Macaca mulatta: one gene and its partners. The protein of the gene in region 4 interacts with the protein of the main gene of each other region in a biochemical or structural test. Links are inferred from orthologs where the notes say so. Each region holds a gene or a part of one and is shown on either strand. Other genes may lie near its edges.

Region 1 (5,875 bases), on a different chromosome or scaffold from region 4:
ACAGGAAGACGCTATAGTGTTAAAATGTTAGTTCTTCCCAACTTCACTTATAGATTCAATGCAATCCTAATAAAAATCTCAGCAGCTTATTTTGTAGATATTGACAAACTTACTGTAACATTTATATGGAGAGGCAAAAGACCCAGAGAGCCAATATGATAATGAAGAAGAACAACAAAGCTAGAAGACTGACCCTACCTGACTTCAGGACTTACTTTAAAGCTACAGTAATGACAGGATGGTACTAGTGAAAGAATAAACAAACAGATTAATGGATCAGCCCAGATATAGATCCATATAAATATAGTAAACTAATACTTAACAAAGGAACAGAGGAGAAAGGGTATAGTCCTTTCAACAAACAGTGCTGTAATAATCGGACATCCATATGTGAAACAATGACTCTAGTCACAGACCTTATACCTTTCAGGAAAATTAACTCAAAGTGGATCACAGACCTAAATGTAAAAATGCAAAATTATAAAACTTCCATAATAACATAGGAGAAAATTTGGGGGACATTGGGCTTGGCAATGAGTTTTTAGATGTAAACCAAAAGCACAATTCATGAATAAACAAGTTGATGTTGAGCTTTGTTAAAATATTTTAAAAGTCTGCTCTGTGAAAGACACTGTCAAGAGAATAAGAAGACAAGCCACAGACTAGGAGAAAATATTTGCAAAGCACATGTCTGATAAAGGACTTGTATCCAAAATATACCAAGAACTCTTAAAACTCAACAGTAAGTAAACAAACAACCTGATTGAAAAATGGGCAAAAGATCTGAATAGATATTACCAAGAAGATATACAGGTGGCAAATAAGCATATGAAAATATACTTAACATCATATGTCATTAGGAAAATGCAAATTGAAACAACAATATAATATGACTACACATCTATTAGAACCACTGAAATCCAAAACAACGAATGCTAATGAGGAACTCTCATTGCTGGTGGGAATGTAAAATAATACAGCTACTTTGGAAGACATTCTGGCAGTTTCTTAACAAGTTAAACATAGTTTTACCATATGATTCAACAAGCATACTCTTAGGCATTTGCCCAATTGAGTTGAAAATTTATGTGCATACAAAAATCTCCACATAAACATTTATAGCAGCTTTATTCATAATTGTTTAAAACTGAAAGCAAGCAAGATTTCGTTTGGCAGGTAAAAGTATAAACAAACTGTGGTATATCCATACAATGGAATATTATTTAGCAATAAAGAGAAATGAGCTATCAAGCCCCAAAGACATGGAGGGACCTCAAAGGCATATTACTGAGTGAAAGACACCAGTCTGCCTGAGCACTCACACCTGTAATCCCAGCACTACAGGAGGCCTGAGGTGGGTGGATTGATTGCCTGAGCTCACCTGGGCAGTGTGGCAAACCCCATCTCCACCAAAAATACAAAAAATTAGCTCGGCACAGTGGCACATGTCTGTGGTCCCAGCTACTTGGGAGGCCGAGTGGGAGGACCGCTTGAGACGGGGAGGCAGAGGTTGCAGTGAGCTGAGATCGCACCACTGCATTCCAGCCTGGGTGACAGAATAAGACCCCATTTCGAACAAAACAAAACAAAACCCCCAAAACCCAAACAAACAAACAACACAAAAACTGAAAGCAACCAAGATTTCCTTTAGTAGGTAAGTAGATAAACAAGCTGTGATATATCCATACAATGAAATATTATTTCACAATAAAAAGAAATTAGTTATTAAGCCACAAAAAGACATGGAGGGATCTTAAATCATATTACTGAGTGAAAGAAGCCAGTCCGAAAAGCCTACATGCTGTATGATGCCAACATATGGCATGCTGAGAAAGGCAAAGCTATGGAGACAGTGAAAAGATCAGTAGTTGTCAGTGGTCTGGGGATGAGGAGAGGGATAAATGGGTGAAGGACAGGAGATTTTTTAGGGCAGTAAAACTATTCTGTCTGATACTATAGTGACAGATACATGGCATTATGAATTTGTGAAAACCTACAGAACTCTACAGCACAAAGACTGAACCTTAATGTAAACTATGAACTTTAGTTAATGTATTAATAGAAGTTCATTAATTGTGACAAAAGTATCACACTCATGCCAAATGTTAGTGAACAGTGAAACTGTTCAGGTGAGGTGGGTATATGAGAACTCTGTACTCTTTGTTAAAAAATAAAGTCTATTAATTAAAAAAAATCAATACATGATGGTTAAAAGAGGAAAAAAGTGCTAACTGAATGTCACCCATCATTATTATTATTGCAGCTAATCCTTATGAAGTGGATAAGATTTGTTTTATGCCCTTGTTTATGTCTTTATTGTTTGTTTCTTTCTGATTATAAAAGCTCTATGAGCTCATAGATCAAGCATTATTTAATTCAACAGTAAGAAAAAGGAAGTTCAGAGAATTGTCAAAGATTAATGGCAAATAAATGGTAAAGCTGAGACAAAATCCTAGTGTTCTAAATTTTTTGTATTCTACCTTGTTGTCCTACAATGATCTGAATTTTTATTAATTCTCTATTTCAGCAACTTTCCACTTTGGCTGAAATGTATGATTTTCTAACTCAGCAAAGACTAAGACTCACAGTGATGGGACTCAAGCCATGGCCTGCAGTCCAGGGATGAGGTAAATGAGCCACCTGGGTGGGTACGGAGTAATTGCCTCCCCGTTTTAAATTGCTGAATGAATAAAATGTACTCAAATTAAGCCATTTTAATATTTTCATAGCACAAGTGAACTTCGTTCCCGAAGTTATTTCTATAACTTCTAATGGTTTTATGATGTTACAGATTTTTTTTTCTCTTCTCAGAAAATCGAGGAGGAAGCTGGCATAGGCCACACCCCATCCTCCTCTCTGAAGCTATGCTTATAGCTTGTGACATTATGTAGCAAACCAAATAACCTTTAAGGTCACCGTCAGCTCCTTTTTAGGGATGGGGGATCCATCCCGTTAATAGATCCTCAAAGTCATGTCGTTGCTAATCTATATTAGTTATCCCTCCTGCCTCATCCTTCCGAGAGGGTTCCTTTCTCTAGGGAAGGAGGCAGGTCCTGAAATTGTATACGACAATGCATGGGGAAGCACTTCCTCTGCTGACCTCTTTCCAGCAGTGATTCATAATCTGGTAGACATGTGTGGAGGCCAGCCGGGGCTTGTACAACCGAAATCCGGTGCTGATATCTTCCACCACCTCTGAGTTGCTCCGGTTTTCATATGGGATTTTGCCTTCACTGAAAACTTCCCACATCAGCACACCTACGAGAAATGGTGAGCACAGCACAGTGAATGACAAAGCTCATAGACAGCAAACAAACCAACCTGCCTCTAGAAATTACAGACTCCTTGGCACTAGGATCCATGTGCTACCTCCAGAAGTACATTGAGTCTACCTGAGGTTTATTAGGCCTGTCTTATTTTTAAAGAACTGAAATTTCCCAACCTTTGTAGTGGAGAAGGATTTTTCAAGATGGACCCTTTGTTATATCAAACTCAAATGCTACAACTAACAGTTGTAGACTGAAATACCACGATGCAGGATGTAAATGAATGGCGTGCAGGAGGTGTGACACTATAGGGATTGGGGAGGATTGTGGAAAATGAAATAAACAGTTCTGTCTTAAGGAGACAGCTATGATTTGACTCCAACCAAAGTATGGCACATGAAAATGAGGGATCAGAATTGTCACATTTTCTGATTTTTTTTTTAAAAAAGAAGTCAAAAATTAAGAGTTGAACTTCTCGAATTTTAAAAATACCATGCAGACTAAGCAAAACACATCTTTTGCTTGTCTAGTTTTGACCTCTGATTTAATCCCTTTCTTTTCCTCTTCTGCCCTTAGTAGAAATGTAACACCCAGCTTTGTCTTTATCATGCGCTGATGTATTCACAGGTTGTCAGAGCAAGACGGCTGCTTGCAAATCAGCTAATCCAGAGCTTTCAGAAGCTTGTTCCAGAGAATCTTAGAGTACCCATTCCCAACGCATGATCCTCAAAACACCTGAATAAAAATCATCTCACAGCCTTGTTCAAATGGCAGATTCCTGGGCCCTAGCCCAGATCCAGTGATCAGAATCTCTAGTGTTACTCAGAGGTGCCTCGGGAGTTGGAAATTCAGAACCTGACCCTAAATAAGAATGCCTATCACTCCAAGACACCATAATTTTTAGTGAAAATTTATTTGAAAATGTGCTGCTGCTAAAACATGGCTTCAGAATGATTTCTTTAATACATAGATGCATAGATGAGATATGTATAGATAAAAAAATTGAGTGAAGTACAAAGAGGTTGACTTGTTCTGAAAAGCACACTGTTAATGAGGGCAAAAAAACTTAAAACATAGGACAAAGTCAAATGGGTTGATGCAGGCATGGAGCTTTCAGCTCATCCAGGTTTCTGTTGCTTAGGCTGGTACCCCCAGTTTTTTCACACTTTTTTTTCATTGACCTCTTTCTATTCTGCATCCATCCATCAACCTCGTTTCTGGACTCTCTTCAAATAACATATTCTAGGCAGGGACGAATTTCAGCCCAACCCTCTAATGGTAAGATGCTGCAGGAAATTCCCAGGCTGATACCCTTTGGCTGAATAAACCCCATTCAGAGTCAGAAGGTGAATGTGCTAAAGTGGCCATTGCTCCAAATGTCTCATTGTGGGGCCCTTGCTTGGTGCAGTGTGATCAGTTTCATCACCCATAGTGAGATGACTGTACATCAGCCCCAACCTTCCTAGTTATACACACTGGGGAGAGGAGAGTCATCCAAGAATGCTGTTAGTAAATTTCTTTCAGGTCCATTCTGTAACTTAAACCTGGTTAACAAAGTGGCTGCTAGGTTTGGTGAACAGGGGACTGTTTTAAGAAACAGGTAGGACTCATAATTAACAAACCACTTGGCTCCTAGAGATGGATAGTCTAAAATGCTGGAGAAGATTTTTAACACTCATTCTTCTCCTAAAAGATTTACCTAGCCAACCTCCCCCTGGTTTCTACTACTAGTAAGACCTTGTCAAACCCTTCCTTCATACCGAATGGCAAAAATCAATCTTCAAGTAGTTTCTGTACACACTATAATTCTTCTTGCAATCCAAATCAAAGAGGTTCTCTGGTATATATTTGTTGCACACTTTAGTATGCACAAACTATGACTTCAGGTGACATGACAAATCCAGCAAGAACATTTGGTACATCCTGCCATACCAACATCATTCATTCATTCATAGCCCTTTGCACTTTTTAGAAATTCTAATTCTTTATCATGGCCTGCCACCTTCATTGTCTATTGTTCTCCCAATAAGTCAGTACCCCCTGTTCTTTGGATGCACCAAGATTTTGTACTTGCTGGTCCCTCTATCAGGGACACTGTTCCCTGTCTCTTCAAATGGTGACAGCTCCCTCCTATCATTCAAGTCTCTGCTAAAGAATTACCTTCTGAGAAAGGACCTCCCACACCACCCTATTCAAAGCAGACCCTCTCTCCATTCTAGTCACTCTGCCCCATTACTGTTTTATTTTATTCCTAGCACCTACTTATGATTGCTTGACTTTATCTTCTATCCCTTAGCTTGTTTATGATTGTTATGGTTTATGATGGTTATTATGATCTTTTGTGATTTTCTGTCTCTCCTCCCGTCTCAAATTTAGTTCCAAAAGAACAGAAGTCTTTTCTGTCCTATGAACCATTGCATCCTCAGCACCTAGATTAGCCCTTGGCATAGAATAGATCCTCAGTTAATTGTTGTTGAATGAATAAATATTAATACTTATTAAGAGATAAGTATGGAAATGTAATGTTGGACAAAACATGGTCCCTGCCTTCAAGGGGCTCATATTTGAATCTCTTGATTTCTCCAGCTTTTGACTTCACAGCAGCTGGC
Region 2 (5,875 bases), about 120 kb from region 4:
CATGGAACAGCACATACAACACAACCAGCAACCCGCAGAGACACTAGTGCAAAGGGTAGGGAAGCCTTTCACTGAGCTTCCTGGCTCCATCTGAGGGTAAGGACAGGACAGTATAAGCCTTGGTAAGGCAGGTAGGGGAAAGGGGATTGGAAGAAATGTAGTAACCAGAATAAGTATAGCAGCGTTTTCAAATTCCTGAGCACAATGTCCCGGAGCTGGAACCCTACTCCCCTCAAGCTGTATCCCTCCACCCCAATCCCAGTGGAGCCATGATCCAACTACCCAGACCTGCAGCAAGCTAGCCTGGAATAAAACTCTGAGAGGAAGCTATCACATGGTGGGGAGGAGACTTTCTATCTCCAACCACACTCCCACCTCCATATTAAAATTATCACACCTACTATCCCTCCCCTTCTCTTACTTACTCTGCCAGTCACTCTAGGGATCAAGGTATGCCCCAGGTAACCTGAAATGGAACTGAAGTCCCCGGGGGGTGTGGGTGAGACACAGCACAGCCTGTACTTAGAGATAAAATTTCTGATTTGCATGGTGAAGCTTAGAACCCAGCTATACAGCTCCAAGAAAACTTGGGGAAGCGGGGGGTTGCCTTCAAAATGAATACTCTAAATCCAGAGTTTTATGATGAGGCCCTGGAAGGGCTAGGAGGAAATTTTTCCAGAGGGCACAGGCATCGATGCTGGACTGTCATATCCTTCACAGGAATAGAGGAAGCTCCTCATTTCAGTTGGGGTTACAGAGGTTTGGGGCAGATATTGTAAGTTCAGCCGAGGACTCCCTTGGCTCTTCCTATATTAAAGCCAAAGGTTGTGCTGAAAAGGAAAAAATATAAAACACACCCCCATCCCTGTCCCACCCTATCCAAAATCCCCACAATAGGAACATCAAAAGTTTCAAGTTTGATTTTTTTTCTTTTTTCCTTTCTTTAAAAAAAAAAAAAAAAAAGGTAAATAAATTAAATTGCCAACAATGTGGCTGAGATAGCCATGATCAGGCCATTCTTAAAAAAAAAGGGGGACGGGGAGGGGAAGTAGGTGGAGTTTGTGAAATATAAACAATGGCCAAAGAAAATTATCAAAGTAACTAACTACAGTCACAGGGCTAGAGAGGGCTCTATGGAACAATTATGGCCTGTGCCACAAGAGGCAGTGCTGACCATATTTTAGCAAAAGCTAGGAGTAGCTTCTTGCTGAACACATCAACCCCAACAGACTAACCCCTACCCTAAACCCTGGCATTCCCTAATTATGAAAACTTATAGGAAAGAAGAGCTCATCTGGAAATTTTCAGTATCCCAACCTGCATACTGGTAGACCCAGTGGGTGCCTGCACCTTTAAGGTGGACTGAACAGGGATACTGCTTGGCACAGAGGTCCAGTCTTCCCCTAAGGGCCATCCGTGATGGCCAATTACTGGCCTCACTACTTATTTCTAGAGATTTGGCTCCACCCTTACCATTTCTTCAGGATGTCTGCTGCTTAGAGTCAACAGGCCTGCCTGCTCTGATTCCCTGGTTTTGGAGGAGAGGGACGACTAGAGATTCCTTACTCTGTCCTGACACTCCAGGGAAATTGAATCTCTTTGTGCTTTCTGAAAATAACTGGAACCAGGAACCCTAAGCAGGAAAATGGATGGAGGTGGGGGCTTTCCCACTCAGACTGACAATTTATAGACATTTTAGGGGAATATGGCAAAGGGAGGAAATCTGGGTTTCCCACCTGAAAGGCTGAGCAAACTACCCCAGGGCCCTTCAGTGCCAGAAGGGCAGTGAGATGTGTGGCTCAGGTATAAGCCACAGTATTAAGGATGGTGGAGAGGACTCAGGTCCCAGCTGCTGGAGTGATGGGATTTTCTGATTTCCATCTCTTCCTGATAGCCGGTCGAGTTCTATATCTCTTCCACGCCATGAGCAAATATCATGACAAGGCCTGGCTCCTGCACCATGTCATCACCCATATGTTGGTTCTCACAGGCCATCACGACAACAGCCTGCTTGCCAGGGATGCGCTTGGCCACGTAGTTCTCATAGTAGCGTCGGTTCATCTGTCTAGTCTCTAGTGTGGCCAGACCCTGGGGCCAGCTACGCTCATGGGCATTTTCAATCAGCTCGTTGACAATAGAAGCAGGACAGCCACTCTCCACCAGGGAGCGCTTGATTACAGCCTGGAGCACGGCATCAGGAGTCGAGATCATCCCTCCCCAGCGGGTCACTCTTGCTGGCTGAAGGGAGTTCACCCACCTGTGTGGAGGTGGTTAAAGATGGTCATTCCAGATCATCTCCTTTCTCTGTATTGGCTTTTTCTGCTAATAGAAATAACTACCCACTCTGCACTCAGCTCACCTATTCTTCCTTCTTTCCTTCCATGATTGGCTCAGAAACCCCGAATTTTCCCCAGTTGGTCCCAACTGAGTCACCAAACGTTACGCACCAGATTAAATTCCACTCTGTCCCTGTTACTTTTCTTTGAAATTCCAATACTTAGCACATACAGCACCTAACACAGTTAGTGCTCTATGTTTAGTGAATAAAACAATTATTCCTCTATACTATGTCCCACTCAGCACTATTTGCCCTATATATATTGATTCACACTTACAGTTTAGTCTATGAACTGTATAGGACTCCAGAACTGAAAAAGATCTTAGACTTCGCTTGTATACTTCACTTGTTTTTGCTGCATTTTAGAGATCACTTTCCTGGACTTGCACTCTGCCTCCTCTTCTCTGGGTTGTAAGCTACCTGAAGACAGGGATAATATCTTCTATTTCTTTTTTTTTTTTTTTGAGATGGAGTCTCACTCTGTTGCCCAGGCTGGAGTGCAGTGGCGCGATCTCGGCTCACTGCAAGCTCCGCCTCCCGGGTTCACGCCATTCTCCTGCCTCAGCCTCCGGAGTAGCTGGGACTGCAGGCGCCCATCACCACGCCCAGCTAATTTTTTTGTTTTTTTTTTTCAGTAGAGACGGGGTTTCACCGTGTTAGCCAGGATGGTCTCGATCTCCTGACCTCGTGATCTGCCCGCCTCAGCCTCCCAAAGTGCTGGGATTACAGGTGTGAGCCACCACGCCCGGCCTATCTTCTATTTCTTTTTGGCCCTCCTAGCACTCCACAGCCTTTAATACAGGGCTTTGTACATGGGTACTCACTTAATTCTGGATAAAGTGCATCCTTGGGTAGGCTTTCCCTTCCATCCACCCAAACGCGTAAGACATCCTGTAGTGGAGCTAAGGGTTATCCTCTTCTCCTCGGCCCCTGTCCTTAATGCTAATATCTGAGAAGCAGTGACCCCCCAGCCCAGCTCTCCAATGCCCTCCTTCTGCTACTCTCCTGCTCTTAGCGCCTTTCAGGCCTTACTGTCAGGACGTGGAATCACTCCATGTCCTGAGTGACACTCACTCTAGGATCTCGTTGTATTCAATTGTCTCCTCCAGGTTCTGAAGGTTGGGGTTGACACTGCGGATTGCACGCATGTATGCCTTTAGCAGCTGGATGTCTCGCTTCTGTTGTGGAGAAGAAGAACAGGAATAATGGTTAAGGCAGACAGCAGAAAAAAGACAAAAGTTTATCCGAGAATGAGGACAACTGAGAGATCTGAAGAACAACCAGTTTGTAAGCTTCAGGAAGACAGGGATAGGACTGTCTCACTCACAGCTGTCTCCTTAGTACTTACAAAATGTGCCTTCACAGAGGAGGCATCTGGTAACTGTTAGGTGAATGAATGCTATGAATGGGATGAAGGAAAGTCAAGGAGAGCTCCAATCTGATTCCCTGCTAAGCCACAGGCAGAATAGCCACTCATCCAAACTCACAAGTGTAAGCACAGGTCTATGTGTTCACAACTGGTTTTATTACCCACAGGCAGGCAGTTATCTGCATATGAGGGATATGTTCTCCCCCGTGTCTTGGGGCCTACCTGCTCCGCCAGCTGGTGTTTGTGTTCAGCTGACGTCTTCTCCAGCTCTGCGATGCGTGTCTGCTGCTGCTGTACCACTGAGCGCAGGTGCTTAATGCAGTTATGGTTGGGCAGCTCATCTTTGGGCATCTCCAGGCTGCAGACCAGGGTGGGGAAAGAGCAGAACAGGGGTGATCACCAGGACATGTATGCAAATGGCCTATTCTGTGGCAGATAACTGCTGAGTAGATTTTGTCCTACCCAAAATTTCTAACATTCATTTCAGGCCTCCCTCATTCATTCCCTTCACTTTCTTCTTCCAAGCTTCCTACTTGCCCCTTTGCTATTTTCCTTAAATTTCTTTCCCCAATCAAGACACAGTGTTTTATCTACTTTTTATATTTATCTTATTTTATTTTTTATCTTTTTTTTTTTTTTGACATGGAGTTTCGCTCTTGTTGCGCAAACTGGAGTGCAATGGCACGATCTCAGCTCAGCGCAACCTCTGCCTCCCAGGTTCAAGCGATTTCTCCTGCCTCTGGGATTACAGGCGTGCGCCACCATGCCCAGCTAACTTTTTGTATTTTTAGTAGAAACGGGTTTCCCCATGTTAGCCAGGCTGGTCTCAAACTCTTGGCCTCATGTGATCTGCACCGCCTTGGCCTCCCAAAGTGCTGGGATTACAGGTGTGAGCCACTGTGCCTGGCCTCTTATTTTACTTTTTTTTTTTTGAGACCAGGTTTCACTCTTGTTGCCCAGGTTGGAGTGTAATGGCACAGTCTTGGCTCACTGCAACCTCTGCCTCATGGGGTTCAAGCAATTCTTGTGCCTCAGCCTCCTGAGCAGCTGGGATTACAGGTGCCCGCCACGACGCCTGGCTAATTTTTGTATTTTTAGTAGAGACAGGGTTTCACCATGTTGGCTACACTGGTCTTGAACTCCTGACCTCAGGTGATCCGCCCGCCTCAGCCTCCCAAGTGCTGGGATTATAGGCGTGAGCCACCGCACTGGGACTATTTATTTATTTTGACACACTGTTTTTATCTACTGCACAGCTCTCCTTTTCCTCCTACAGATTCTGCCTGTGCACTTATTGCTTCAGAGAAGCCCTATATTCACAGCCCCAGCTATCAACATTCTTTTTATTTCTTAGTTAGTTAGGGGGAACAGAGTCCAGCCCAGGCTGGAGTGCAATGGTGTGATCTCAGCTCACTGCAACCTCTACCTCCTGGTTTTAAGCGATTCTCATGCCTCAGCCTCCCAAGTAGCTGGGATTACAGGCATGCACCACCACACCTGGCTAATTTTTTTTTTTTTTTTTGAGACAGAGTCTTGCTCTGTTGCTTAGGCTACAGTGCAGTGGCGTGATCTCGGCTCACTGCAAGCTCCTCCTCCCTGGTTCACGCCATTCTCCTGCCTCAGTCTCCCAAGTAGCTTTCCCCTACAGGCGCCTGCCACCACACCTGGCTAATTTTTTGTATTTTTGTAGAGATGGGGTTTCACCGTGTTAGCCAGGATGGTCTCAATCTCCTGACCTCATGATCTGCCTGCCTTGGCCTCCCAAAGTGCTGGGATTACAGGCGTGAGCCACCACACCCGGCCCCACACCTGGCTAATTTTTGTATTTTTATTTTTATTTATTTATTTATTTATTTTTTGAGACAGAGTCTCGCTCTGTCGCCCAGGCTGGAGTGCAGTGGCGCGATCTCGGCTCACTGCAAGCTCCGCCTCCCAGGTTCATGCCATTCTCCTGCCTCAGCCTCCTGAGTAGCTGGGACTACAGGCGCCCGCCACCGCGCCCGGCTAATTTTTTGTATTTTTAGTAGAGACGGGGTTTCACCGTGGTCTCGATCTCCTGACCTTGTGATCCGCCCGCCTCGGCCTCCCAAAGTGCTGGGATTACAGGCGTGAGCCACCGCGCCCGGCAATTTTTATATTTTTAATAGAGACTAGGTTTTGCCATGTTG
Region 3 (5,875 bases), on a different chromosome or scaffold from region 4:
AACCTAAGCCATGGAGTCCTCTTCTCCACATACACTCAGATGCCTCCAGCCTCCTCCAAACCTGCATGAGATTGTTATCCAGGAGAAAAGACTTCTGATTTTAATGTTTCCAAGTAACTTCTTTCAAGAAGGTTTGATGAAGTAAGTCAGGTGTGATACTGCAGACAGTTTTGTTCTCATTGGAGCCTTTTTGTAAACTCAGAATTTCCCAAATATATTTGTTTAATGCATCAACCTGGACCTATTGTTCAGGAACCGCTACCCTGCTGTGGTGTTGTGGTTGGTATACCGCTGTATTGTAAAGTCCAATAATCTACTCATGGGGGACTCTCCAGGCTCCTTCAAACTCCCAGCTCAGGACATACAAAGACAGAGTTACTCAGGCAGGCTGGAATGACAGCTGTTTGCTCAGTCACACCCCTAGTAAGTGAGAGGTGGATGTGGACGAGCCTTTCTTCACACCTTCCCTGGGCCAGGCACTGGGATAGGGTTTCCTTCTCACAGATGGAGTGAAGAGAAATTCACAGAGACACTGCCCTTTACACACGTGCGTCACTCAGGCAGCCCACAGCACACTCAGACCTGACACCAGGATCAACATCTGCAGAGCGTGTGCTCCTTCCCCCAGGCCACCCCAGACCTGAGTTGGGACTGCAGTCCTCACCTGTGTGACTCCAAAGAGGCTGGAGACACTGAGTCCACACCGCAGGGCACAGACATTTGCTCTACTACGCCGGTCCCATGTGAACCTGGGTGGGCCATGTAACCTACTGACATCTCCGTCAACACGACTATAAGGCAGGGACTGGTGCCTGCAGCCAAGGTGCTTAGGATGATGACATGGGCCAGCACACCTAAACCAAGAACCACGCGGGCATAAATGGTAGCATCTCTCATCAGTGTTACCAGCCCATGGTGGGAATCACATGCACAGTGTCACATAGCCATATTCTCCCTCGTCCTTTACCTCTCTGGTCTTCACTTCTAGAGGCAAGTCCCTCTAAGGAGCCAGCGGCCCCCATTTGCCAACACACCCCAACGTGCCAATGTGGGAGGCCCTGGCATCATATGGATGCCACACTCTCTGGCCCAAGGTTATCCTTGGGTCCCGGTCCCTGCATATCACTGCCAGGGCTCCCAGAACACAGCTCTGTCTCTCCACCTCCTGTAGCCTCCCAGTGGCCCCCAGGCATAGCCGCTACAGCCTGGCTGCCCTCCCCTGGCGTGCACCTCTGTGCAGAAGCTTCCAGACCACATGATCTCACCCACACAGTCCCCTACTGAGACAACCCTGCTCCGTTTCAGTGCCCTTCTCTGCCTGCTGAGTGTCTTTCCTGGCCGACATGACCACCTCCAGCTCTCTGGTCCCCTCGGCTTTCATGACTTCCCAACAGAAAGAACACTGTATAGTAATCTGGTCCCAACATGCAACTTGCCCCATTACATCAATGCAGCTTGAAGACAGTGCTGCTGTAACCTAGGCAGAGGTCACTGCTTGTCCACCACTCCCAGCCCTGGTTCTTCCCAGGCCTCAAAGCCAGGCAGAAAGGCCCTGTGCTGGTTTCTAAACCACCAGCCTCAGGGGAAAAGGACACGTGCAGTCTTGGCCTCCCTGCAGTTAGCATGACCCCCACCTGGTTTTGGGGCATCCCCAGGAGGCCCCTGCACCTGGCCCCATGGCTCTGGGTCCCACCACAGCTCTCAGTCCCCTCACCCATGAGCCTGCTCCCCCAAGCCCCTCCCATCACTAAGCTGCTCTCCGTGGTAGAACCCCTTGTGGACCCCGAGCCTCCACCCAGGCACTGCCTTCCATAACCAGTCCCCCGACACCACCATGGCCAACTCTGACACGTGTATTTGTAATCAGAACATTTTATACCACCACTGCTGAATCACTTCCTTGTGACAAAGCTGTCTGAGGGCTCAGCAGTCCTCTTCATCCCCAACCTTCAGCCCCACTGAAGTAGCTGGCATTTTTCCACAAAGCCCTGATCTACACCACAAGGACAGAAGTATGCTTCCTTCGTAAATCCACCAGCATTCATGAAGGGAGAACGGTTTCACTGTTAAGCCCATTCTGCAATGAAGGCATGAGGGGCCCTTCCCTGCCCCTGCACTGATGTTAACAGCGGGTCTTCTGCCTGGTTCTCCCACCCTCCAAATCTCCCACCAAGGGACCACACCAGCACGACAGCATTTGGATCCTAGGCCAAAATTCACGAGAGTTCAAACTGCAAGGGAAACGTCCCTCCCTTGTGGGTTTTGCCAAAAGCGAACCTACTAGGCTGATTTCTCATCACACATTAGCCTCCCGTGGAGCACCTCCCGTGGAGCCCCAGCTCACCTTGCCGCCCAGGGGTCCTGTTGGGGCCCTCTCCTGTGTCAGGCAGTCTGCTGCTTGCCCGGAGCCCGCCTCCCACGCTGTCCGGAGACACAGAGCCATTGGCCTGGCTACCGAGGGCATTCATGTGGGTAGGGATGGGTTCGAAGGTGGGATCCAGCTCCAGGATCAGCCTGTTGAGCTGTTCGATGGACTGGTCGATGTCCAGGGTGGGTGAGCCCGGGGAGGGGCCTGTGCTCAGCTCTGGGCCAGCTCCATTCATAACCTGGTCGCCTGGAAACCTGGGTTTGAACGCTTTGCTGGGAGAGGGCTGCTGTGTGTCAGAGGGGTGTGGCCCACTGCCTACACCCCTCTGGACAGCCACCCTACTGCTGGTCCCTCGGGTGGGGGTGAGTGGGACTCTGGGCTGGGCCTGGACGAGGCCGGGATTGTCTGCAGGGCCGCGGCTCACCAGCCGGGCTTCCCCATCGGGGGCGAAGCTATACTGGTGAGCTACAACCATCTGCTGCTGGCGCACCCAGGTCTGTGTGGAGTAGCTGCTCTGCCCGTAGGCCTGCATCTGAGAGGACACTGAGGGCTTTCTCAGCAGGGGCTGGGGCTGCTTGGGTTCTCGACTTCCGAAAGTCCGCTCCCGCTCATAGGGGCCGTCCATGCCAAGGCCCAGGTCCGGAACAAGGGTGCCCTGCGGATCTTCACCAACGTTGTTGCCAAAACCGTCAGATAGGAGTGAGTTCTGGCTGCTCTTGTGGCAGGTGAAGGGACCCAGGTGGGCCGACTGAGGCCCTTCCGAGGAGGACAGGGTCCCAAGGCTGTCCACACTGTGCAGGTCGTGGTGGGGCATCTCGTCATCCAGAATGTCCGTCTCCCGGTCCTTCAGAGCAGCGTCTCCATTCACATGAACCTGGGCCGGCACCACGTGGCGAGTCCCACTGTACTTGCTTCGAGCATCAGTCATTTCCTTGAGGGAGCTTCCAGGATCCTCCAGGCCAAAGCCACTGAGCAGCTGGTCCAACTCGGCCTTCTCCTGGGCGCTCAGGCCCCTCCTGGTTCCTGGAGCCAGGCGCTCTTCCGTCTTATCAGTCCTGGCAGAGGCTGTAGAGTGGCCGGAGTCACTGCTGACAGACAAGGTGTGGTCACTGTGGTCTGGGCTGTTGGTGGTCGGGACGGCCTGGGGGCCACCTGGGATGCCAGGATCTGAGGAGCTTTTCTTCCTCACCTTCGCGTAAAGGCTGCCATCGACAGGGCCCTGCGTGTGTAGCACTGCGGGGGAGAAAACCAGAGAGAGGCTTTCAGTCCGGGATGAAAGCAAGTCTCACACCCTCAGAATGAGTGTGTGCATTTGTCTAAACAAATAAATGGATTCAAAATATGATTTACAATAAGCAGGGACAAAGATCCCTCTAAGATCACAAAGTTCTATATAGACTCTGGAGGATGCCAATGAAAAGGCATTCAAATAAACATCTTCAGGTGCTTGAATCATTTCTACCTTTCCATGCAGAACAAATTGTCATTCTGAACTCTGGGATTCTTCACCTTTTGAATCATCTTGCCTTTGGGGCTCATTGTTAATTTCATCATGACTGTGAACGTTGAGGCCAGCTCGGCTCATAAATCCCCAAGAATGGACTGTTCATCTTAGACAAAGAAGAGCTTCCGTTCATAGACCTGTCTAACATTTGTTGAGCATCAGCTAGGTGCTGGGTAGCAAATTCCTATTAAATTGAATGTCTTGGTGAAACCCGTCTCTACTAAAAATACAGAAATTAGCCAGGTGTGGTGGTGCATGCCTGTAGTCTCAGCTAGTCAGGAGGCTGAGGCAGGAGAATTGCTTGAACCTGCGAGGCAGAGGATGTAGTAAGCAGTGATCGTGCCACTGCACTCCAGCCTGGGCAAGAGAGCAAGACTCTGTCTCAAAAAAAAAAAAAAAAAAAAAAGGAAAAAAAACTGAATGTCTGCTCAAAGGTCAATATGAAATTCAATGAAAAGAGAAAGTACAGGAATTGGTTTGGGTCTTCCTGCTTGGCACAGCAACTTTGGGCCAAGTAGGTGCCTGGTGAATGTCTCAGGATCACAGACACTTGAGGCTGACCTTCACGCGCTGATTTCCATACATGGAATGTCAAGAAAATAAAATTTTGAACTAAAGTGTGGGCAGGAAGGGCTGAGGCATCGGCTGCTATTATTAATCATGGCCATGACTCTGGCATTCTGGGACTCCCGAGCCTCAATGTGCTGACTGGCCAATTGCCGCGACCACACACAGCAGGTCCTTGCCAAGAGCCTCCTAAAATAAGCTGGAGTTTGTAGTCAGCACATGCCGCACCCCATGGGCCTCCCCCACCTTCTACTTTCTCAACTGTGAAATTGCAAGCATTCCACAGCCAGGGAGCTGCTGGTGGTGGGAAGCCCACGCTGCGTGGGCACCTGGAATTTGAGAGACGTGAGCCACTACCTAACAGCAGTCACCAAGCCTGGCCCAGGAGCCCTCTGGAGGGACCTGCCCTAAGCATGTGCCTCATAGCCCCGGGCTCCAGGCTGATGCACCACCATGGTCAGCAGCTGCTGGCTTTTTTGAAAACACTGGGACAACGTGTTAGGACAGAGTCCTGAGAGGTACTGGGGTGTGGTGCTGAAAACACGCCCACGTAAGGCTTTCTTCTTGTTTCAACCGTGCCCAAGGGAAAGCATGCAGAGAAGCAAGGAGTGGGGAGAGTGGACACAGGGGTATAGGCCCATCTGCAGTGGCCGTGACTCCCATCCTAAAGTCAAGCCTAGGGAAGGAAGGGTCTGGGAGTAGAAATGCTACACAAAATGCTGAAAATAAACCAAGTCTTCAAGGCAGGGAAAGTGATGACAGGACATATGCCATGGGATTCATTCAAGGTAACAGCCTCAGTAACAGCTGCTGTTTTCTGAGTACCTTTTATTGACAGGACAGGAGCATCGTGCATTTTCTCTAATTTTCACAGTATGACCTATTTTCTTGTTTATCTATAAGCAACTGAGGATCAAAGAGAATAAATAATTTGCCCAAGGTCAGGCAGCTGCTAGGAGGTGGAGGTGGGCCTAGAACCCAGGTGCACTGGCCCTGACGCCTGTGTGCTCCTGCTGACCCACTGCCCACCTGCTCAGAGAGCACCAGGAGGGCACACACCTGGAAGCTCTGTCAGTGGCCCTGCCCACAAAGAGGTGGTACTGAACTCACATTGATCTGACCAGGGATCACCAAGTGACCAGGCTTCAGAACAGGCAAAGACTAAAACACCTACTTCACCCAGCTCTGTGCAAATTAAACAAAGGAGACACCTGGAAAGACTGGCCTAAATTATAAGGCACGTGCAAATATCACCTCTACAATTTCAAAAGTGGAAAATGCAATCCATTTGTTAATGCAATCACTAGGCGATTGTGAAGTAGAGTGGTCCCTTGAAGCAGCTCTGGCATTAGATGGACACTGGTTCAAATCCCAGCTCTATCCTGAGTCCACCCTTAGGGTTCTACCAACTGGTGCATTCACCTTGACCTTCAGCT
Region 4 (5,875 bases):
GACCATTACACTGAGGAGCACAGATGGTCTTGGTCACTATGGAAGGAGAGAAAGCATGGCTGTTAGGGCTCCTAGGACTGAATCCTGAGGCCACTGCTCATGCCTCCCCCGCAGTATTGACCCAGGCTTGGGGAGGAAGGGATATGAAAGTGTATGAGTAAAGTTTTTGGAGGAAAGTTCAAACCCACATGTTTGGCAGTCTTCTGGTCCAGGACCCCAGCATCGCCCCTTGCAAACCTCATGACAGAGGGGACCTGGTTGGGAAGGAAGGCAACACAAGGGGCCATCAGGGCTAAGAAAGGCTTGTTTGAATCAACAGGGTATGATGTCACTACACAGGCACCTCAATCCCGGGAAGCAAAAAGCCAAGGCTGTGTCCCTCCCTGCCCTTGGAGAGCAGGGCTGGGCTCAAGTGAACCTGTCAACAAGGGGTGGGGCCACGCCTCCACACTACCCAGTGGGCAGCTGAAGGGGAGGGACTGGGGCAAATGCCAATCTTAGTCCCAGTCCCAACCCAGGAACTTGGTTCCTCCTGGGCAAACTGAATATATGCAGGAATATATGCATGTGAATGGTCAGGGGAAGGTGGGCTCTGAGGAGAAGGGAGTATATTCTAGTGGAACGAGTAACAGATGTGGAGCCTAAAGATCTGGCTTCCCTGCTTAGTACCCAGGGAATTTTTTTTGTTTTTTTTTGAGACAGGGTCTCAGTCTGTTGCCCAGGCTAGAGTACAAAGGCACAATCACAGCTCACTGCAACTGCAGCCTCCTGGGCTCAAGCAATCCTCTGCTTCAGCCTCCTGAGTAGCTGGGATTACAGTTGTGAACCACTACGCCTGTCTGATTTTTAAATGTTTTGTAGATTTTTTGCTATGTTACCCAGGCTGGTCTTGGACTCCTGGGCTCAAGTGATCCTCCCACCTTGGCCTCCCAAAGTGCTGGGATTATAGGCATGAGCCACCATGCTCGGTCTGCTCCTTTTCTTCTTTTTTTTTGAGACAGAGTCTCGCTCTGTGGCCCAGGCTGGAGTACAGTGGCATGATCTCAGCTCACTGCAAGCTCCGCCTCCCGGGTTCACACCATTCTCCTGCCTCAGCCTCCTGAGTAGCCGGGACTACAGGTGCCCACTACCACGCCCAGCTAGTGTTTTTTTTTTTTTTTTTTTTTTTTTTTTGTATTTTTAGTAGAGACGGGGTTTCACCGTGTTAGTCAGGATGGTCTTGAGCTCCTGACCTCGTGATCCGCCCGCCTCGGCCTCCCAAAGTGCTGGGACTACAGGCGTGAGCCACCGCACCCGGCCTATCCGCTCCTTTTCTTGAAACACCTCCTCTGTAGTTTAGATTCCAGGGGACTGGCATGGTCCGTCCTGGTGGGCTGCTGAGTCAGGGACCTGAGGTGTTTGTTCAGTGGGGAGGCGGGTTCAGATCAGGAATGTAAGGATGATAGAAAGAAGGGAGTCACTCCGGTTTGGTGGGGCTGGGGAGCAGTCTTGATCACAGTCACTTACAGCTTCTGCCATTGTCCTTCACCACTATCTCAGCGTCTTGGTCCCTCACGATGTCCTTCCAGTCAATTGTGTCCATGTGACAAAGCTTATCATTCTTCTCAATATAAACACCCCCTGACAGAATCTCTGAGGTAGGGAAAGAAGTGACAGGGTTAAGGGCCACAGCAGTACGCCTCTTCCTTACCTCTCCACCCATCCAAAATGACACCTGAGACTCAGGAGTGGGAGGACGAGGCAGACAGATAGGTCCAATTAAATCCAAGCTGCAGAGAAGACTCCCTTTATAAGACGAGGAGTCAGGCCAAAAGAAACTCCCGCCTCCTCAGTCACCTGTCCAGATCCGGTTTAGCTAGTGGGGGAGGGGAAGGGAGAGAGGGAGAGAAGATTTCTGACTCAACATCCCCTCCCACAAGCCCTGCCCATATGTTTTCCAACTGACTGGGACAGGGAGAAGTAGAAGATGGACAGGTGGTTTTTAACTCCTATATTCCTCAGCTCATAGGGGTTTGGTTTAGGAGAGCAAAGGTAGAATTCCTAGGGAAGGAGGGACATCCAGGTATACTGTGCTTTGGCTTTTTTTTTTTTTTTTTGAGACGCAGTCTCACTGTCACTTATGCTGGAGTGCAGTGGTGCGATCTCGGCTCACTGCAACCTCCGCCTCCCAGGTTCAAGCGAGTCTCCTGCCTCAGCCTCCTGAGCAGCTGAAATTACAGGTGCACACCACTATCCCCAGCTAATTTTGTTTTGTTTTGTTTTGTTTTGTTTTGTTTTGTTTGTATTTTTAGTAGAGACAGGGTTTCGCCATGTTGGCCAGGCTGGTCTCAAACTCCTGATCTCAAGTGATCTGCCCTCCTTGGCCTCCCAAAATGCTGGGATTACAGGTGTGAGCCATCACGCCTGGCCTCCAGTACACTGTACTTTGAAGTTAGAGAAATGGTAACAGATCCGGCTCTGACTCCAGCCCCACCAGGACACATGGTTCCTTTCCCTGGAGTAGATGCCCCTAGCTCCCCCTACTGGGGGCCCTCTATTGCTTAGGGAGCAATGGACCATTAGACAGTTACCAAGGTGACAGGCACCTTGGAAGAGGCACTTAGAGTGGACAGCCTTGGGTCATCATCAAGCAGGTACCAGTCTGAGGGCTGAGGGGTGAGGCCGGAAGGAACCATCGGGAACTGACCGGTGAGCTGAGTCAAGCGGAGCTGGCGCAGAGCGTGGCTGGAGTTGGTGTTATAGTTCAACATGACGAAGATGGCAAACTTCCCATCGTAGACCTGGGTCCCTCGCACCACTCGGAGGTTGGGCAATGGTAGAGTAGAGAACTCATTCATGGCCACGAGGACATAGCCTGTCACTTCTCGAATCCACTGTGACAGAGCAGATTATGTCAATGAGAGAGACAACAGGGCAAAAAAATCTCAATCCCCTCTCCTCCTTCAGGCATTAAAGACTCTTAACTCTTAATTCTTCCTTCTTTCTTTCTTTCTTTTTTTTAAAATTCGAGACAGAGTTTAGCTCTTGTTGCCCAGGCTGGAGTGCAATGGCGCGATCCTGGCTCACCACAACCTCCGCCACCCGGCTTCAAGCAATTATCCTGCCGCAGCCTCCCAAGTAGCTGGAATTACAGGCATGCACCACCACATCTGGCTAATTTTGTATTTTTGGTAGAGATGGGGTTTCTCCATGTTGGTCAGGCTGGTCTCAAACTTCTGACCTCAGGTGATTCGCCTGCCTCGGCCTCCCAAAGTCCTGGGATTACAGGCATGAGCAACCGCACTTGACCTTTTTTTTTGGTGAGACGGTCTCGCTCTGTCACCCAGGCTGGAGTCCAGTGGCACAATCTCGGCTCACTGCAGTGTAAAACTCCTGGGCTCAAGCGATCCTCCCACCTCAGCCCTCAAGTAGCTGACTACAGGTGCGTGCCACCAGGTCCAGCTAATTTTTGTATTTTTGTAGAGACAGGGTTTCCCCATGTTGCCCAGGCTGGTCTTGAACTCCTGACCTCAAGTGATCTGCCTTCCTTGGCCTCTCAAAGTGCTGGGATTACAGGCATGAGCCACTGCACCTCTCCTTAACTCTTGCTAATTCCTATTTTGGAGTAGGGAGTAGACTGTGTCACACTACTATGTCACTTCTGGGAGTGAAGACAGGCAGCTTTCTCCTCAAAGCTCCTCATGCCAGGCGGGCCCTTTCCTCATCTCCCCAGGTACCCTCTCGGTCCTCAGGTGTCTCTCTGCGCTAGTCCCTGCTGACCTCGCACTACCACAGAACACCACCTGCCCCGCCCCTGCCTCTGCCCCTGCCCCCTATATATCCCTGGCTACAACAGCGAGACCATAGGTCCCAGATTACAGCCACTGTCCCCAGAAATACGCGGGTTTGGATCTTAGGAACTCCTGCGTCTTAGGAAGGGTGAACTCCAGCAGAAGGTAGCCCTGAAGAGGGAAGGAGGGTTCTAGGGGAGAATAAAGAGGAGCAGGTTGAGGAAGGAGGGTGCACATTAACCTGCAGGAAGGAGAGGTCAGCATTGTGTCCCGTGAGCACAATCTCGAGGTTCCCCATCACCACCTCACACCTCTCGTAGAGCTTGTACAGTGTCTGGTATTGGTTCTCAGCATCGCCGGTCACACTCAGGCCATTCAGAGTCCCAGGACACACTGTTCAAAGCAGAGGGAAGAGTGGCTGAGGGCTGGACACAAATTCTCAGCCCATCTGCCATCCCCCAAGATCACCCCCTTGGTTGCCCTCTTCCAGTTACATTAGACAGGATCAGAGGGCATTTGCCTCCAACCCTCCCACAAGCGACAGGCAGAAGCTGTAGTGGCCTGAGAGCTTTCTCTCTTCTCAGAATCCCTTTACCATTCTATGAATGGGAAGGTGAAGATTTCCTTTTTCTACCTGAGACCCCTCTGTGCCTCTTTTGGGTACCACTCTGGGTACTAAGGGGTTAATAGAGAAGGATGACAGTGAATTTGTTTCCCTCCCTAGAAAAGAGAAGTTAGGAAAGGGCCGAAACTTTGATTACCCTCCTCTCCCCCTCCAAGCAGGGCACTCACTTCTCTACCCTCATCCTGCCTCTCTCTAGGTCCTGGAATAAATATCTCTTTGGGGCTAGTACACAGCCCCTATTGTGTCAACTGAGGGTGGGATGGGGGCAGAGGGTGGGGGCAGTGCCTGGGGCCACAGTCCAGCCCACAATGAGGCGATTCTATCCAGGAGGGGGGCTGCCCCACCCTATCCCTAGACACCCCATCCTCAGCAGCACTCCCCTCCACCCTCAAGCCTTGGGCTCAGACAAGTGACCTCAGTAGAGGAGGGAGCTCTGGCAGTGGTGGGGTGGGGGGGGGGGTCAATGGGAGCTTTGTCTTTAAAGCTGGAAGATAAGAAGCTGGTTGCCTCCCCCCGTTCCTAAACTCAGGCTTTCCTTCTCACTCTGTCTCCCTATCCCAACACACTCTAGCAACCTCAGCATCACTTTCCAGCCCTAGAGTATTTTTTAGCAAATACAGGGACACCTGGAGAGAAATAGTAGGAGATGCCCCACACTGAGCCTCCACCCAATTTCATTGTTAGAAGAGGTTCATGAAAAAGCCTTTCACCATGGCAATCCTCACCCGCACTAGGGGAAAGCCTAGACTAGAGGCACATGGCATGTCAGCCTTGGGAGTTCACTCTTTGCAAATGTGGTGGACAATGGGCTATGGAAAATCCTGGACTCTGAAGCCCTACCCCAGTCTCTTTCTTCTGGTTCAGCGAAAGACCACGTGTGGGGTGGGGAATAGGGGGTAGATACCACCTGTTCCAGCCACCCTTCCCTGAGGCAGTGGTAGTCAGTGGGAGGCAACAGTGGGAATGGAGGGAGGGAGACTGGTGAGGCCCCAATCCCTCTTATATACCCCTAGTCTGAATTCTTGACCTTGGAGGGCTCCTTATCACTCCCCATGAAGGTTGGCTAGTCCCAGCAAAGAGAGCTAGTTCCAGAGGAGCTGGTAACTCCAGGGTCCTTGGGTTGAAATGAAAGAGACTAGGAAGGTTAGTCATTTCTGGAACAGCCCCACCCCAGTCCCCTTCCTGGCAGGACACCCCCTTTCCCAAGTTATAGTGCCAATCCTTCTCCCCAGATAAGGGAGGAGCCAAGTTTTCTGCACAGGGAAGTAGTAGTGTGGGCACACACACACACACAACATACACATGAACACATACACATTGGTCCTGCTGGCCCAGGAACCTGTGGTCGGGTTTCCTTGCAGGAAGTATTTCAGGTGGCCCCATCTATCCCACGTGCCCATATGTGTTTGTGCAGACTTTGTGTCTGTGCTTGGAAGGCTACAGTGTTAGAGGTAGCCCAGTTCCCTGCTCCCCTGAGGGT

The links.
Region 1: the proteins of ERBB3 (region 4) and ITK form a complex in vitro, tested with the Homo sapiens proteins (2 studies listed by BioGRID and IntAct, with this or other methods). The link is inferred for Macaca mulatta from reciprocal best matches to the Homo sapiens genes ERBB3 and ITK.
Region 2: the proteins of ERBB3 (region 4) and RNF41 form a complex in vitro, tested with the Homo sapiens proteins (2 studies listed by BioGRID). The link is inferred for Macaca mulatta from reciprocal best matches to the Homo sapiens genes ERBB3 and RNF41.
Region 3: the proteins of ERBB3 (region 4) and TNS3 form a complex in vitro, tested with the Homo sapiens proteins (2 studies listed by BioGRID and IntAct, with this or other methods). The link is inferred for Macaca mulatta from reciprocal best matches to the Homo sapiens genes ERBB3 and TNS3.

The regions. Positions count from the first base shown.
Region 1 is NC_133411.1:166,117,114-166,122,988, reverse strand, and holds part of ITK (tyrosine-protein kinase ITK/TSK), read right to left. Parts: intron 3,259-5,875; coding exon 3,101-3,258; intron 1-3,100. UniProt on the Homo sapiens protein: Tyrosine kinase that plays an essential role in regulation of the adaptive immune response. Regulates the development, function and differentiation of conventional T-cells and nonconventional NKT-cells.
Region 2 is NC_133416.1:63,356,695-63,362,569, forward strand, and holds part of RNF41 (E3 ubiquitin-protein ligase NRDP1), read right to left. Parts: intron 4,066-5,875; coding exon 3,930-4,065; intron 3,517-3,929; coding exon 3,413-3,516; intron 2,258-3,412; coding exon 1,906-2,257; 3' UTR 1-1,905. UniProt on the Homo sapiens protein: Acts as E3 ubiquitin-protein ligase and regulates the degradation of target proteins. Polyubiquitinates MYD88. Negatively regulates MYD88-dependent production of pro-inflammatory cytokines.
Region 3 is NC_133408.1:81,237,630-81,243,504, reverse strand, and holds part of TNS3 (tensin-3), read right to left. Parts: intron 3,602-5,875; coding exon 2,345-3,601; intron 1-2,344. UniProt on the Homo sapiens protein: May act as a protein phosphatase and/or a lipid phosphatase. Involved in the dissociation of the integrin-tensin-actin complex. EGF activates TNS4 and down-regulates TNS3 which results in capping the tail of ITGB1.
Region 4 is NC_133416.1:63,233,729-63,239,603, reverse strand, and holds part of ERBB3 (receptor tyrosine-protein kinase erbB-3), read right to left. Parts: intron 4,164-5,875; coding exon 4,012-4,163; intron 2,874-4,011; coding exon 2,687-2,873; intron 1,633-2,686; coding exon 1,507-1,632; intron 255-1,506; coding exon 189-254; intron 37-188; coding exon 1-36. UniProt on the Homo sapiens protein: Tyrosine-protein kinase that plays an essential role as cell surface receptor for neuregulins.